Neurospora crassa OR74A: one gene and its partners. The protein of the gene in region 2 interacts with the protein of the main gene of each other region in a pairwise test. Links are inferred from orthologs where the notes say so. Each region holds a gene or a part of one and is shown on either strand. Other genes may lie near its edges. The genes, in order: NCU08956, NCU04610 and NCU00919.

Evidence for each region.
Region 1: the proteins of NCU04610 (region 2) and NCU08956 interact in a protein complementation assay, tested with the Saccharomyces cerevisiae proteins (2 studies listed by BioGRID). The link is inferred for Neurospora crassa OR74A from reciprocal best matches to the Saccharomyces cerevisiae genes OSH3 and SCS2.
Region 3: the proteins of NCU04610 (region 2) and NCU00919 interact in binary tests that used the Saccharomyces cerevisiae proteins (3 or more experiments, as listed by UniProt). The link is inferred for Neurospora crassa OR74A from reciprocal best matches to the Saccharomyces cerevisiae genes OSH3 and ROK1.

Annotation. Positions count from the first base shown.
Region 1 is NC_026505.1:5,807,975-5,813,284, reverse strand, and holds NCU08956 (MSP domain-containing protein), read right to left. Parts: upstream 3,706-5,310; 5' UTR 3,240-3,705; coding exon 3,200-3,239; intron 3,124-3,199; coding exon 3,053-3,123; intron 2,976-3,052; coding exon 2,953-2,975; intron 2,862-2,952; coding exon 2,803-2,861; intron 2,739-2,802; coding exon 2,623-2,738; intron 2,559-2,622; coding exon 2,433-2,558; intron 2,359-2,432; coding exon 1,954-2,358; 3' UTR 1,403-1,953; downstream 1-1,402. Other genes in the region: NCU08955 (UBX domain-containing protein, variant), read left to right, coding at 4,673-4,757, 4,815-5,025, 5,082-5,232, 5,289-5,310. UniProt on the Saccharomyces cerevisiae protein: Acts as an endoplasmic reticulum (ER) membrane anchor for cytoplasmic proteins via binding to the FFAT motif of targeted proteins. Regulates phospholipid biosynthesis by modulating the subcellular localization of the transcriptional repressor OPI1.
Region 2 is NC_026505.1:1,510,258-1,515,530, forward strand, and holds the start of NCU04610 (oxysterol binding protein), read left to right. Parts: upstream 1-1,960; 5' UTR 1,961-2,301; coding exon 2,302-2,337; intron 2,338-2,426; coding exon 2,427-2,503; intron 2,504-2,576; coding exon 2,577-5,273. Other genes in the region: NCU04611 (transcription elongation factor spt-6), read left to right, coding at 1-493, 561-820. UniProt on the Saccharomyces cerevisiae protein: Lipid transport protein (LTP) involved in non-vesicular transfer of lipids between membranes.
Region 3 is NC_026501.1:6,733,633-6,738,951, reverse strand, and holds NCU00919 (ATP-dependent RNA helicase rok-1), read right to left. Parts: upstream 3,311-5,319; 5' UTR 3,102-3,310; coding exon 756-3,101; 3' UTR 479-755; downstream 1-478. Other genes in the region: NCU00918 (hypothetical protein), read left to right, coding at 1-417; NCU00920 (isoleucyl-tRNA synthetase), read right to left, coding at 3,591-5,319. UniProt on the Saccharomyces cerevisiae protein: ATP-dependent RNA helicase involved in 40S ribosomal subunit biogenesis. Required for the processing and cleavage of 35S pre-rRNA at sites A0, A1, and A2, leading to mature 18S rRNA.

The DNA of each region.
Region 1 (5,310 bases), about 4.3 Mb from region 2:
CTCTGGGGCTTCTACATAGTGTACACTACTACAAGGTACTCAGCCCGACCTCAACTACGTGCAACCACTGACATGCCAATGTTTTTGTGAAACTTGCCAAACCACATGGACATGCCGACATTCCCGCCGCGTGAGCGCCCACGAGCACGAGCCGAGCTACGAGCGAGCAAGCGAGCGAGCAGCGGCTTGAGCGGCATGTTTCCTTGGCAGATCACTGGAAACGAAAGCCCAAAAGTGACGAAACGGAGGGGACTTGGCGAAACTTCCAGAGTTGAAAAGCTCCGAAAGACTGAACGGGTTCAAACGAACGGCCTTTAAAATCCCCGAAGCCGCTGGCATGAACCTCACCCAGCAATGCAAAAAATGGGGAAAAGCTCAGTTGTACGTTGACATTCTCAGTCTATACACTACCTGTTGTCTTTGTCGACCGCAGCACAAGCACAAAGAGAGAGAAGGACCTGAATGATGTGCAAAGTCAACGTTTCCTATTACCTGATCGTGGAAGAAATATCCGCGAATGAAGTTATAAGCTCTAGAATTTCTGACAATTGGTCCTCTCTCTTTATTCACAATACGGTTGCCCCTCCCGATGTCATGAAACAACCTTGATGAGAACAGTTGTTTTTAGCTAACCACAAGCCTCGTTTGCTCATCAAGGTACCTACCTCGAAGAACCGCCCAAAATACCTACTAGCTACCAACCCATCAGTTAAGTCGCCCTTTCCTTTTTCCCTTCTTCTTTCCATGTCATTTACATATCGTACACAGAAACTACAAATATACCAGCTATCTCAAAGTGGCACTCATCATCAAAAGTATCTGCTTCATCAAGGGAACAGAGCTGAAAAGAGATGAAACCTTAACTCCAAGCTACAAGGCTGATACTGTGTGCGGTCGGTCCCTGACGGCTGATCCCGCCACTACTAGTGTAGATTCCTCGATACAAACCCATTGTCCCAACTACGACATCTTCTTTACTGCAGTACCTATTCTCTACTAGGTGATGACGAAATGTGCCTGACTGATTGACTGACTTCCCGTCTCCCCTCGTAATCTAATCATTGGGTGGCGCTGTAAGGCGCTGGTGTCGGGCTCTTTGTCTGGAGGTCGTTAGGTATCAACCATACATTGATGATGACTGACAATAGGTTTGTGTAACTATAAGCGGAAACTGGCTGAAGTGATTGTGAAGAAAAGAGGCAATAGACTAGCTGACCATGTAGAGGCAAATACACTCAGATTAGAGAATAAACCGAAGATTTGACTAGATAGCTTTCTGAACCTCTGTCATAGCTGAATGAAATAATAACAAGTGGATGAAAGGATCTGGATAGATGAGGACTGTATTCAGAGAATTCCGGATACCGATAAACATGTCTGCACTCATTCACTGGCCTACGAACGTGGATATCCTTGCATATTATCAGGTATTGGTATTTCCATCCTACAGTCCTACAGTCCTACTGGCCTCCTAGCATAGCATAGCATAGCCTAGCCTAGCCTAACATAGCATAGCATAGCATAGCCCGCTCGTTGTACCCGGAGCAATTTGCAGAACCGGTTGTAATGAACACACAACAAAGAGATCCGCATCAGCTCGTCCACCTCACCTCACCTCACCTCACCTCCTCCCCTACGAGCAAGACAAAACCGAACCCCGAACCACGCGTGTTTGTTTCTCTTGTCTTCTTCCTCTTCCTGCGCTGCCTACTTCAGATCCCTAGAATACACCCCTGGGCCTGCCACTCTATCCACCACCCCCCAACGACAAAGGGAATAAAGACAAAGTTTTTAGTAGTGAGTGAAACGATATATGAAAACCGAGAAACGAAAAAAGAAAAAGACAGGAAAGGATTACGTTGTTGTATTGTGTGTGAAACCCTGGGCGTACTGGAGGAGCAGCAGCCTTCGCGATGACAAGAAAAAAATGGAACCGGGTGTTTCGTTGCAGCACTAGAAGAAGATATAGGCCAGCAGGAAGCTGACCAAGCAGAGGACCGCCGCAATCTGGACTGGCACGCCCTCGGTGCCTTGCCTCGCTGATTGCGCGAGGTCCTGAGCGGTCGCCTGTACGTTCGACGCCTGCTCGCCCACCGCGTCAGCCACAGCCGCCTTCCTCTGTCTCAGACCGCTGGCGGCGTCGTTCTGGAGAGATGCGATGGTCGCCTGAGCCTTGGCCAACTGTTCCTTCAACTGCTCGTACGTCTCGGAAGCGGTATGCTGTGCTGTCGATGCGACGGCCGCAACAGTCGACTGGAAGTTCTCGCCGACGTCGGACTCTTGTTTAATATCGCGGGTGTCGACCGTCGAAGATCGGGTCTCGCTGGGCGATGTGAAAGGAGCAGGGGTCTCCTCGGCCTGCGCATGTGAAAGTTAATTTTATTTCCTTGATGGTACGCTGCCAGGGGTATGTAGGCGAAAGGTACACGTACCCGGCTCGACGTCGAGGGACGGATAGGGGTGGCAGCCACGGGGGAGGTGGTCTCCTCTCCAAAGGGTGGCAGCCAGAGAACGCGGATCTTCTTCTCCTGAACCTGGGACTTGTCGACACCATCCCACTGTATGATGTATTTGTCAGCACTCATTTTCATTTTCGTCCTCCTCTGTTTGAGTTATACGCACAATCTGGGCAACGTTGGTGAACTCCTTGTCACCGGTGATGGCAACAGACTGGACGAGGAACTTGTCGCGGCATCGGGCGTCCGAGGGGGGCTCCTGCTTCATGGCCTGGAGGAGGACTGAAAGGGAAGTTAGTCACGAGACCGTAAGTTTGGACATGGTGTCGGCGATTCGAGGACTGACCGGAAACTTCGACATCGTGACCGGGCTCAATGCGACCCGAGTTGGGGCGGACGCAGTATCTGAAGAGGGAGTTGGTAAGTGTCTGTATATCCTTGGACCGGTGATTCGTTTGCGCTGCGGCGCATTGCCGAGGAAGGGACGTAGACGTACTGCTTGGGAGCGGTGGTTTTGACCTGTACGAGAGCATGTTAACACATATGTCGAGTGACACTCAACCACGACAATAACGCGTGTTGATGTCCACACATACCTTGAAGGCAACCGGAGAGGTATTGGGATTCCTGATCCTGAGGATCTGCGAAACTTCCACAGTAAAGGGCCCTAATTTCTGGTCAGACGATGGGAGATCCTAGAGGGAATCTGGGCCGATGGTGCTGTTTGCGAAGGGACGACGTACTGCGGAAACCCAGCTCGAGGGGATCGATTTCGACGGACATGTTGGCGATCGGTTGGGCTCTACGTGGTTTGGTGGTTTTGGGAAAATCTAGAGCGACTTGGATTTCGCGATGGGATGACGGGAAATGTTGCCGGGGGATTATTGGCCGTCCCTAGTATACCCGGTGGGGGGGAAATAAAGGGATGGGGGATGGAGTTTGACGTATTAGACAGGTTCGCGAAATATGCCAGACAAGGGCAATGTGAATCTGATTTATCGGGCCAGACAGCGAGACCGCGGAGAGTTCAGTAGTCGTCGTCACAAGAAAATGTTAGGTAGCAGCCCGAAGTGAAAAATGGATAGATGTTGTGAGGTGTGGTAAAATACAAGAAGAAGAAGAAGCTGGAACCTGGAGTGATAATATTACGAAGACGAGAGAGAGGGAGATGATGTGTTACGACATTCAACAGTGACGGCGGTCCGACGCGCGCTGGACAGACCAACCTGGACACAACTAAGCCAGCAGTACTTAGTGTACCTACCTACCTACCTAGCCTAGGTAGGTGTTTCCAGGAGGGCGCCAGCCAGGCGACGAGACTGCAAAAATGCCCGGATTCAAGCCAAGACCCAACCGAGCCAAGAGCACCTCAGAGGTACCTAGGTATCTGGGTCCGTGCTGATCTCATACCTGACTGGACCCCAACCCCAGAGGAATGAACCTTTCAGTGAGAATCTCAAAAGCTCCCAGCTCTTTCCCGACCCGAATGCTATGTCCACCCGCTGCCTGGCCGGGCGAGCCTGCCGTTGGATACCTCTAGGTAGACGAGGAGACGAGGCCCGTATGGTAGGTTGTCGCGTGGGGTCCACGTATCTCCACTGAAATTAAGGGTCACAGTCGGAGAAACAGGTGATGCCGACTGTCATTTGGCTACAAATTGGGCAATTGTCAGTTTGTCACTGGCCATTTCCAGCTGCCGGCAACGCTGGCACCACTGTCAAAGCAACCCAGGGCACCCAACGGACAAGGGTGTTGTGTTGTTTGTGAATGACGTGCCCCGGGCAGCCTGGCCATATCGCGAAGCGTTCACTTTATCGATGATGACGACGGCGACGACAATAACAATAACAACAACAACATTCACGTGGGCAGTCTGAATTTCTGTTGGAAACGTAAGACGATATTCCAAAGTTGGGTTCCAAAAGAAGGCCAAAGTGTTCGTCTGTTGAAACCTGGCAGCGTTTTAGTGCAGGGAATCGCTACTACGTACCCGTCCGTCTGCTTCTATCCGAACTGTTGACAGCTTCGCATCTTTTGATTGAACCCCTCCTTATGGTAGTGGACTTGACTGCACCAATTCCGAGTTGCCACTATTTCATCCCCAGCAACAACCTACTATAACAATCAAGACCAGTCCCGTCCACTCCATTTAAACACCTAATCTATAGTAGCGACCATATCTTTCTCATCAACCAACCAAATCAAGAATCATCAAAATGGGCCAAACAGATCTCGAGGTTCTGATCGACATGGGTTTCGAGCGCGCCCGCGCCGAGCTCGCCGTCAAGAAGTCCGGTGGCTGTCAGTCCTCCCGAACGCTTACATTTGTGACGCGAATGTGATATTGACAACTAGCAGTGCAAGGAGCCCTCACCTGGCTTGAGGAGAACCAGGACAAGTCCTTGGAGGAGCTACAGGCCAGCGCTGCCTCTGCCGCCACTGCCAAGGCCGACGACGACGAAGAGGATGATGGCTCCCCCATTCCCGAGGGCGCCAAGTCCCTTGTTTGCAACGATTGCGGCAAGAGGTTCAAGAACGGAGATCTTGCCGCCTTCCATGCTTCCAAGACGTCAGTCTCTTTACCAATGTATCCGTGTTTGTGGCACCAAGCTAACTCTACCATAGTCAGCACACCGACTTCTCCGAATCTACCGAAGAAATTGCTCCTCTAACGGAGGAAGAGAAGAAGCAAAGGCTGGAGGAGCTCCGCCAAAAGCTCGCGGAGAAGCGGGAGAGGCAGGCACTTGTTGACAAGGAGGAGCAGAAGCGCAATGAGGTACGATGTCAGAATGTCCCCAGCCGCATTCCAAGCATGCTAACAAATATGTATAGCAAATCAAGCGCAAGGCTACCA
Region 2 (5,273 bases):
GAATTTGTGAGCAAACTGTCAATGAGAGATGAAGAGATGAGGCGGCCGTTCCGAAGACACTTTGACCACGGGCGCGATCAGTGGGATTACAGGAAGGAGGATGAGGACAGGGAGGAGCTTCGCGAGAAGGACAAGAGCACGGGACGTGCGCAGAGAGTGGTCAACCATCCTCTATTCAAGCCCTTCAACAGCACCCAGGCCGAGGAGTATCTTGGCAGTCAGCCGTCTGGCGAGGTTGTAATCCGCCCTTCTAGTAAAGGTAACGATCACCTTGCCGTGACCTGGAAGGTAGCGGATGGTGTGTTCCAGCATGTCGACGTGCTGGAACTACAAAAGGAGAACGAGTTTGCTGTCGGGCGTGTCCTCCGCGTGGGCAAGTACACGTACCAGGATCTGGACGAGTTGATCGTGGACCACGTCAAGGCCATGGCCAAGAAGGTGGACGAGCTCATGCAGTGCGACAAGTTCCAGAAGGGCTCCCGTAATGAGACTGGTAAGTTCAGCCGCCTACCCTGATGCTATTCATGATGATGCAAGATGATGCTAACCAAGACCAACAGAGAAATGGCTCACCACGTACATGGACGCCAACCCCAACCGGTCGACATACGCCTTCTGCATCGACACCAAGCACCCCGGTTACTTTTTCCTCTGCTTCAAGGCCAGCCGAAACTCGCGAGTCAATGCCTGGCCTGTGCGCGTCATCCCTCATGCGTTTGAGCTTATGAAGAGCCAGTACCCAGATGTTAGGGCCCTCTGTAACGGCTTCAAGCTTCGGTACCAGAGTGAGATGTTGAAGCAGCAGTCAGGAGGCAGATAGTACTTGAACAGGTCCTGGCATTGCAGACGCAGTGGGGTTCCGATGGGTGTTTGCTTGATTGGCTATAGGGTTTCGGGTTTCGTTGTTTCTCTGTCTTTTGGGAATTGGACCGCAGTGGACGCTGGGGCTTTGAAGAGGCAGCGCATTTATTTATGGTGGGATAGACTTTAGGTATTCACATCAGATTGGGTCGTGGATCATGAGACCTTGCAAAAAGCCGATATAAGATAGTCAACGGTGGAATGGGGAGAGGCACTTGACTTGAAGAGCAGTAATGAAGAATTACAAAAAAGGTTCATATGGCATTTAATCGGACAATACGGTCAATGATCCAACTTGATGTGCCGGTGCTCGTTTACAGCTCATTGACAAACATTTGCGACACTTTGTTGGACAGATGAACAAGACTGTCATCGCCAAGAAAAAGGGGCACGACTGGACGGATTCGGTGTTAAGTCCCAACAAGACACCGAACCGTTTAATAAAGTTCTATTCTAGAAACCGGCAAATGCCATTCTAGTTGAAAGACCGACATCCTGGATGACAACACACATGCCGAGGTTGCCGACGACCTTCTGACCAATGAAGCCCGCGGAATCATGTAAGGTGTACTATAAGGCTGAGCGCTAGGCAACCTCCAGCTAGGCAGTAGCATGGCAGGTCGTCGGGGTGACCATGCCATTCATCGACGCCATGCGATGGCTCTCGGTGTGATACATACATATGTAAACGTGGGTTGGATCGGGGTATTATTGTTTCAACTGAATGAGGTGAGACATGGGGAAAGGAAGGGAGTAAGTAGTGAACACAGTACTGTAAGTAAGAAGGAAAGCGGGCGATCGGAGGTTAACCAATTGTCCGCTGACCGGGCCCGAATGTCGGGACGGATGGAAGCTCCGTTCGGTGGGGATTGAATTGGCGTTGGGTAGGTCCTTAGGTTTCCATTGTTTTGTTTCCCCCTGGAATGCCAGGCGGGCAGGCGGTCTGACGGGAACACAAGTGGAATTGACGGGAACGCCCCTGTCGGCTGGCCATTGGGTGCTACGGTGGGTTGATCGGTGCCTGTGACCGTTCTGCGCCGCCCTGTTCCATCGGATGTTGCCAGTTTAATTGCTGTAGTGGTCCCCGTTCACCACCGCCCGGCTTTTTCCCTCCTTTCGATTGCACTCACGTCGTCGACAACATCAACAAGACCCCTAGTCTTATACCATAACATCCGACCGTATTGGAGCTTTGACTACCTCTAATGGGTCGCCTCCATCACCAGCCCATCCATTGATCACGGAAGCTTTGTCTCCGACTCTGTGTTAACGCGGACAGAGTAGCTGCTGCTGCTGCTGTTGTTGAAGAGGCGGACAGGCCCCACGATCAGACCTCGGTTACCGCATTCCTTCATTCATTCATTCATTCATCCATCCATCCAGTCACCCTTACTGTCATATATAGCACGACACCCAAGCTCCCGATCATCGTCTTTCACCATGGCGGGCATCGAGCAGCTCGAGATTCACAGCAAGGTATACGCGCCCTGACCTGTTCAAGCCAAGCTTTCATGGACTTCGTCAACGGGAGTTGCTGACCGACGAACCGCTCTTTACCCCCTTAGTCTTACATCGTGCGATGGGTCAAGGTTGATGAAGGCCATACGATATCATGGAGCCTTCAACCACACAAGAAGTCCATGTACGGATACCTACGAATCCCATAACTCTCTCTTCATAGACATTGGCTGACGTTGCGACCAACACGACTACAGCAACTTCGCCATCGTCAAGCACCCAGGATCTGGCGGTACAGCTGCCGGCTCCCAGACCTTCGAGGCCACGGCCACCCCCGAACACCCAGCCACCGAGGCCGCTGTGTCGGATGCGAAATCAGGCCTGTTCAGGAGAGATGCCAGCACAGCGCAAGATCAGCTTGCCAAGAAGGGCTTTATCCCAATCCAGTGGCACGGCAAATGCGAGGCCGACAAGGTTACAGTGGGCACCTACGACGTTACCAGTGCTGGCATGTACGGTCTCGTCTTCGACAACACCTTCTCCAAGCAGACGTCCAAGACGGCCACGTTTGTTCTGCTTACCTACCCCACCGGCGCCCCGCCCCAGACTGCCCACCATCTGCCTACCGTACAAGCGGGGGCCGGCTCCAACGCCAGCAGAACGAGCTTGGGAGCAGGTACTACTCCCCGGCTGGGCGCCGCCAATTCCGACTCGGTCGATAGTCTACCCAGCAATGAGACGGCCGGGCGTGGCCGTGCTGCCTCGAATGCGAGAAGTGAGGGCGGATTTGTGCCGGGCGCAACCTACCACGTCGGTGTGCTTCTCAAGAGACGTCGCAAGAAGGGCCAAGGTTTTGCTAGGCGCTTCTTCTCCCTCGACTTTACGACTTGCACGCTATCCTACTACCACAACCGCAACTCGTCTGCCCTGCGAGGAGCGATCCCCCTGAGCTTGGCCGCCATTGCCGCTGACGAAAGACGGCGCGAAATTACCATTGATTCTGGTGCCGAGATCTGGCACTTGAAGGCGTCTGGCCCAAAGGACTTCAACGACTGGGCCAAGGCCTTGGAAAAGGCCAGTCGTATTGCTCGCGGTCTGGAGACCCTCCCCAACGGCGCATCCCTTGGTGTTGACAGGCCGGCTTCGCGGCCCTCCACCAGCGTTCCCAGCGCACAGCAGGAGGACGAAAGAGAATGGGCGCAGGTCGAATCCTTGGTCAGCAGGGTTGCAGGAACCAGAGATGCTCTCAGGCGCCTGGTCAAGGATATGGCTGCCGAGAAACAGGCGCCTGGTGCTAGCCAGGCCTCGTTGCTCTCACCCAACACGCCAGCGATTGCGGAGGACTCTGAGACCTACTTCACTCCCTCGACGGAGTCGCGCAGGCCGTTTTGGAAGCGCAAGACCAGCAATGCTTCGCCGGGCGCGCAACCAGGCGTTCAGGCAACGGCTGGAGCTGCTCTGGCGGTGCCATCGCCAGCCAGTGCGACGGCCGTTGCGGAGGAGCGGAACCCATACGATAACTGCGCGGCTCTTCTGAATGATTTGGATTCTGTGGTGGTTGAGTTTTCGCAGCTGCTGTCTAAGAATAAGCGCCGAAGAATCCCTTCGCAAATGATGCCGCCTAACATGATGCCTGCGGCTTCCAGAAAGAGTTACGAGTCTACAGCGTCTACCATTGATGAGTTCTTTGATGCCGAGGCTGGTGAGCAGGGCGGCGCGGGACAGAACCAGGTTATGATCATTCGTCAGAGCGAAGAGGACATGGCCGGCTCAGATGCGGAGGAGGTCGATATCCACGACTCCTCATCCGTCTCTTCTGTCGAGGAAGAGGAGGAGTTTGAAGGCGTCGGTACAGAAAACCATGACAGTCTGTTCCCCGTTAAGCCCAAGTCTCTTGCGCCACTGCCTATCACGGACACGGTCACCAGACGCACGACGATTCCGGCCGCCAAAGTGCCTCCTCCCAGTCTCATCGCGTTCGTCCGCAAAAACGTGGGTAAAGATCTTAGTACGATCAGTATGCCCGTTTCTGCGAACGAGCCTTTGTCACTGTGCCAGCGTATGGCGGAGCAGCTTGAATACGGCCAGCTTCTCACGGAGGCTGCCAAGAAGACTGACGCGAACGAGCGTCTTCTGTATGTTACGGCCTTTGCTGTCTCCCAGTTCAGCAACGGTCGCGCCAAGGAGCGTGCTACGCGCAAGCCCTTCAACCCTCTGTTGGGTGAGACGTTCGAACTGGTGCGGTCCGAGAACGAAGTGCCTGGCGGGTTTAGAGTGCTGGTCGAGAAAATCTGCCATCGCCCTGTCCGCCTCGCCGTACAAGCCGACAGTGCTCTGTGGTCTTTCTCCCAGTCGCCGGCTCCTTCGCAGAAGTTCTGGGGTAAGAGTGCCGAAATCACTACCGAGGGCCGTGTGCGGGTCAGCCTGCATCTCCCCGACGGCACCGACGAGCTCTACAGCTGGCACATAGCCACCGTCTTCCTCCGCAACGTTGTCTACGGCGAGAAGTACGTCGAGCCCGTCGGCAACATGAACGTTAACAACGAGACTTCGGGCGCCAAGGCTGTCGTCGAGTTTCGATCGGCTAAGGGCATGTTCGGTGGCCGAGGCGAAGAGGTCCACGTCGAGACGTTTGGTCCCGACGGGTCCAACACGGGCCAGGCGCTCACGGGCAATTGGACGAGCAGTCTCAAGACTGCCCCTGGAGGCAAGGAGATCTGGAAGGCGGGCAGCCTCGTTCCCAACGCGGCGAATACGTATGGCTTTACGACCTTTGCCGCGTCGCTGAATGAAATCACACCCCTGGAGAAGGACAAGTTGCCGCCTACGGATAGCAGGTTGCGTCCCGATCAGCGGTTCCACGAGCAAGGAGATCTGGACTCTGCTGAGGAGTGGAAGGTCAAGTTGGAGGAGGCGCAGAGAGTGCGTAGAAAGCAGATGGAAGAGAGAGGAGA
Region 3 (5,319 bases), on a different chromosome or scaffold from region 2:
GACGACGAAATCACCCTAGCGCTAGGCTTCACAGCCCTTCCCTACCCGGCCTTCCGCATGCCAGGCTGGCACCGCGGGTCGCTGGCCGTGCATGGCGATGATGGGCACAAGTACGTCAACGATCGGTGGGGAGGCAAGGATTTTACGAGACCGTTCAGAAGGGGGGAGACGTACGGTATCGGCATGACGTTTACTAACACCGGCGGAAGGCTGGATGTGAATGTCTTTTTCACGAGGGAAGGGAGGATCACGGAGCAGTGGGATTTGCATGAGGAAGGTGATGCGGAGCAGGACTTGCCCGTCACGGGCTTGGAGGGGTTTCATGATTTGAGTTGTGCTATCGGAACGTATTCGGCTGTCGAATTCGAGGCTGTCTTTGAGCCGAGTAGGTGGAAGTTCAGGCCGCAGGGCTTGTGAGTGGCTCTGGGGAAAGTTTGACCTGAGAGATGCGAGTTGGAGAGAGAGAGAATGGGCACTGCGGTGATATGATGTTATGATATTTTGAAGGGTCAGGGTTTTCTTCTACTCCGTCGCTGTCTGTGTTTGTTTTCCCCTCATGCTGGTATCACTCGGAATCAAGATACGCGACACTCATTCCTAGGACAAGTTGAACAAAATGTAAACTCACAGAAAATCATTCTTTTGTCTAAGTACCAGCATATACACGGTAGGGGTATCTATCCTTTTAATAATCCGCCCGTCAACACAATGACAATATTATCTGCATGAACGCCCCAACGGCTACGCCCAGCTTTTTAATCCAAGCCGGTCCACTCCTCTTCCGCCTTCTCAGGGGCAGCACCGCCCTCCTTCTGCGCCTTCTGCGCCTCCCTCTTTCTCCTCTTGCTAGCCTCAATAGCCTCCCGCCTGTTATTCTCCCTCCGCCTCTCCCAACTGCTCTTAGTCGTGATCGTCGCCTTTCCGCCTGTCCGCCTGCTCTCCACCCCCCTGACCTTCAACTTCCTCTTATCCTCCTTGGCCACCTTGGGCAGCGCATCCAGCAGCCACTTTTGCACGCTACCCTGGGCGGCCTTGACGGTATCTTTCTCGTCGATGTCCTTGCCCGCCTGCTTCTCGCTCATGGCGATCACGTTGGCGACCGACTTGACAAAGGGGATATCGTCCTTGGTGTAAAAGGTGACGGCCACACCGCCCTCGCGACCGGCGCGACCCGTGCGTCCGGCACGGTGCACGTACGCCGCGGCGGACACGGGCACGTCGTAATTGACGACGCCGTTGACGCCAGCAAAGTCGACGCCGCGCGCGAGCACGTCCGTGGTGATCAGCACCCACACCTCGCCGCTGCGGAAGCGGGCCATGATCTTGGACCGGACCGAGTCAGGGAGCGACGAGTGCAGGACCGCCACGCGGGCCGAGCCGCCCGCCTCGAGCGGGATGTCGTACTTGAGCTCGTCGTGGAGCGCCTGGGCACGCTCGATAGTCTGGGTGAAGACGAGGAAGGGCGGGCGCAGCGGCGGGCCCGAGTCGGCCGAGGACACGGGGTGGAGAAGCTGGCGCAGGGCGAGCAGCTTGCCGGGCTCTGTGGCCGTGTAGATGAGCTTGTGCGTGATGTTGGGCACGGCGGTGTCTTTGAGACCAACGACGAGGCGGATCAGGGGCTTGGGAGTCTGTTCGGGGGTGCGCTTGGCGCGCTTGTCGATGTGTTTGGTGAGGAGAGCTTCGATGTTGGAGGCCATGGTGGCCGACCAGCACGTCATGCCGAGGTTGGGGTGGGTGCAGGCACGCCAGATACCCATGGTTTGCTTGCGGAAGATGGGATCAAGGAGAACATCGGCCTCGTCAAGGATGAGGGATTGCACGGTGGGGAGCGTCTTCTTGATGATCCTGGGCTTGCCCTTCTCCTTTTCGCCTCCGCAGAGGAAGTTGAGGAGAATCTTGGGGGTTGTCACAAGAATGTCTACCCTGGTGATCGGCCTCTCCTTCTTGAACTTCTGATCACCTTTGGCCCTGCTCTCCGTTTTCTTCTCGGCGTCAGAATCGCTTTCCTCTTCTTCCTCTTCTTCTTCATCGATTTTCATAACCTCCTCGGGCTCGCTCTCTGCTTCGCTGTCGCTATCACTGTCTTGAACCTCTTCCTTGGCTTCCTGCTCCGTCTCCTCCTGCTCATTTGATTCTGCCACCAACCGCAGGGTCCTCTTCATGAGAACCACGCGCACGCCGGTTCCGATAGCCAACTTCCTTCCTTCATTGACAATTTGACTTGCCAGCTCTCTCGTAGGCGCAACCACGATGGCCTGCAGAACATGCTCGTCTGTTTCAGGGGTGTAATCCTCGGCCCTCCTTTTGATGATGGCATCGATAGCGGGAATCAAGAAGCTGATAGTCTTGCCACTGCCTGTCGGCGCAACACCGAGGAAGTCGATTCCCTTTTCAACCTTGACGTCTTCCACATCTGTGGCCTTCTCCAACGCCATCTCTGGCCGCAGCTGCAGTGGCAAGCTGCCCATCTGCACCTCAGTCGGCACCCGGAATCCCTGCCGCGTGATGTTGTCCGCCAACACGGGGTGAATGCCGTAAGTGTACTTGAGCTCGCCAAACGAGTTGAGCGGCTGCGGGTAGATTTGCTTTTTGTCTTCGTCTTTCTTCTTTTTCTTCTTTTCCTCCTCTTCCTGCTTCTTCCTGTCCTCCTTCTGCTTCTTCTGCTTCTTGGGCGGCTTCTCCTCCGTAGCCGCTTCGTCTTGTGGCACGCGACCGGCTAGGACTGTGAACTTTAACCGATGGGATTTGAGTATCTGTCGGCATTCGTTTTCTTCCAAAAGCTTGGGCTTTTGCTTCTTGGGCTCGTCCGCCTTCAACTCGGCATCCTTCTTGGCGGCAAGCTCCTCGGGGGTGGGCTTGGGCGCAAAGTAGTCGACGTCGCTGGCATCGTCGTCTTCGTCTCCGCTCTCGGTCGCATTGTTGGCCTGAGCCCCCTTCCTCTTTCTCTTCTTGCCTCTTTTGGCGTTGGCGCCGCCGACATTGTCGTGGAAGAATTGGGGATTGACTTTTGCTCCGGCGGAGGGAAGGAGCTGCGGTGCGCCTGGCTGGTTTTTCTTGGGCTGGGCTTTGATGCCTCGCGAGAGGACTTTGAAGATATCCATGCTGGAAGATTTGCCTTCGTAGGATGTGATGTCGCGGGGCTGAGTTAGATAATTGACAGAGAATACGAGCTGTACAAAGCTTTGTGATGGGTGAAATCAGGTAAATCTGGAGATGGGAGACAGAATGAACTGCTGGACTTTTACAAAACAAAAGAATTCTTGGAGTTTCCTTCCAATCGCCAGAATTGATCCATGAAAATTTTCCGCCCCGCAGCGGGCGCCAGTGCTTATCTTAGCGGCCTGGGTGGGGCTCCGCACCGCTGTACCCCAACTTTGGGCCGTCGAGGTTCCTTTTCACTGTGCGTTTACAACGCAGCTTGGGATGCAAAGGGAATGCTCCCCTAGGCTGAACAATGTGAACAGGATTGCCCGCGTTGGAGATGTGAAGAACAGGATATGTCATGAAGGGGGGAGGGGTATCCATTTTGTGTACGGGCTCGTCTACTCTAGTCTATCTTATCTGTCCTTGGTCGAACCTTTTAGTTTCTTTCATTGTACACCCTCGCCAACAACATCCTCGCACCGGACGCACAAGGAGTCCTCAGCAGGAGCAACGAATCGCCAGCACCTGGGGCATTTATGGTCTTTGGGAGGCAGAACCCACGCCTGGCAACCATGACCACCCATCTCGAAGTCTTGGACGTACTTCCAGGCAGGCTCCCCCTCTATGGCACCGCCGAGGTCTACAGAGGATACAACAAACATGGTATCTAGCTCGTCCTTGTACTTTTGCAGGACGGAAAGTGCCTTGCTGTCCTTGGGAGCCTTGATAACAACAGAGCAACCAAGGGACGAGCCAAGAACCTTGCCCCTGCGTGCCAGCTCGGACGCGGCTTTGATGGCGGCGTGAGTTTCCATTAGGACCGGGATGTCCTTACGAAGCACGCCTTCATCGTAGCTCAGACGGCTGGAATCAATCAAGGGCGAGTTATAGAGCTGATGAAGAGGATGAAGAATGGATGGGTCTTCCTTCATCCAAGCAGGTCGATGCTCCCAAGCCTCCTCGACCAGGACAGGTGTGATAGGGGCCAGCATTCTGAGGAAGCCCATAAAGATAGGCTCTAGGACACCACCGCCATCGGCGCAGTACAGCCTGTCCTTCAGGGCTTCGAGGTAAAAGGCAGACAGATCGTTGGCGATCCATCTGTTGAGACTGCTGAAAGCCTTGTTGAACTCGTAGTTTTGATAGTGTCTCTCAATTTCCACCATAGCATCCTTCAGCTGGACAAGAGCAATGTGGTCCAAGGCAGTCAGTGGAGCTGCTCTGGCTGACTGTTCCATCGAGCCCGTCAGCATCTTGATGATGGTGCGATACTTGGTTAGGGACTGATGGATAGTCTTCAGCACAGGCTCGCCGAGGACAATGTCACTGGTGTAATCACTGCTCGCTACCCACAAGCGCAAGGCGTCGGGGCCAAGGGCATCCTTCGGGGGAGGCGCATTCGGATCCCTGTCCTTGTTCCTGACCTTCAGCGGAGGAAGCAAAGAACCATCCATGACCTGGTCCGCCGAAATGATGTTGCCTAGTGACTTGGACATCTTCTTGCCGGCTTTATCTAGCGTGAAGCCATGAGTGATGAGTGTCTTGAATGGTGACAGGCCAACAGCATTGGTCGTACCATTAGCTGTCGGGCTTTGAACCGCCATAGCTGCTACTCGAGTGAGCAAACTCGACTGAAACCAACCGCGATGTTGATCAGAGCCTTCGAGATAGACATCCGCTTGCCTATCCGTCTGGGTCCAGCTGCTACCACTGTCAAACCAGACGTCCATGGTATCTCTACCACGGGTGAAGGGGCCCTTGCCCCGAAGAGATGCGGGAATCCAGACAGGGTCATGAGGGTCATCAGACCACCAAGCATCGGTACCTCTCTCCTGAATGACGGAGATAATGTGCTCGATGGTCTTTTCAGTCATTACTGCATCGCCATTGGCATCGTATAATGCAGGGATAGGTACACCCCATGCACGCTGTCGTGAGATGCACCACTCGCTCCGTCCCTTGACGAAGGCTTCGAGTCTGCTTCTCCCGCTTTCGGGAACGAATTTGACCTCCTCCAAAGCCTTCAGTGCCAACTCTTTGATGTTGTCCACATCAGCAAACCACTGCGCCGTGGCCCTGATGATGATGGGCTTCTTGGTCCGCCAGTCGTAAGGGTACTTGTGCTTGTACTTGTGCACGTTCAGAACATTGTCCTTGAAAAGCTCGAGCACGGCA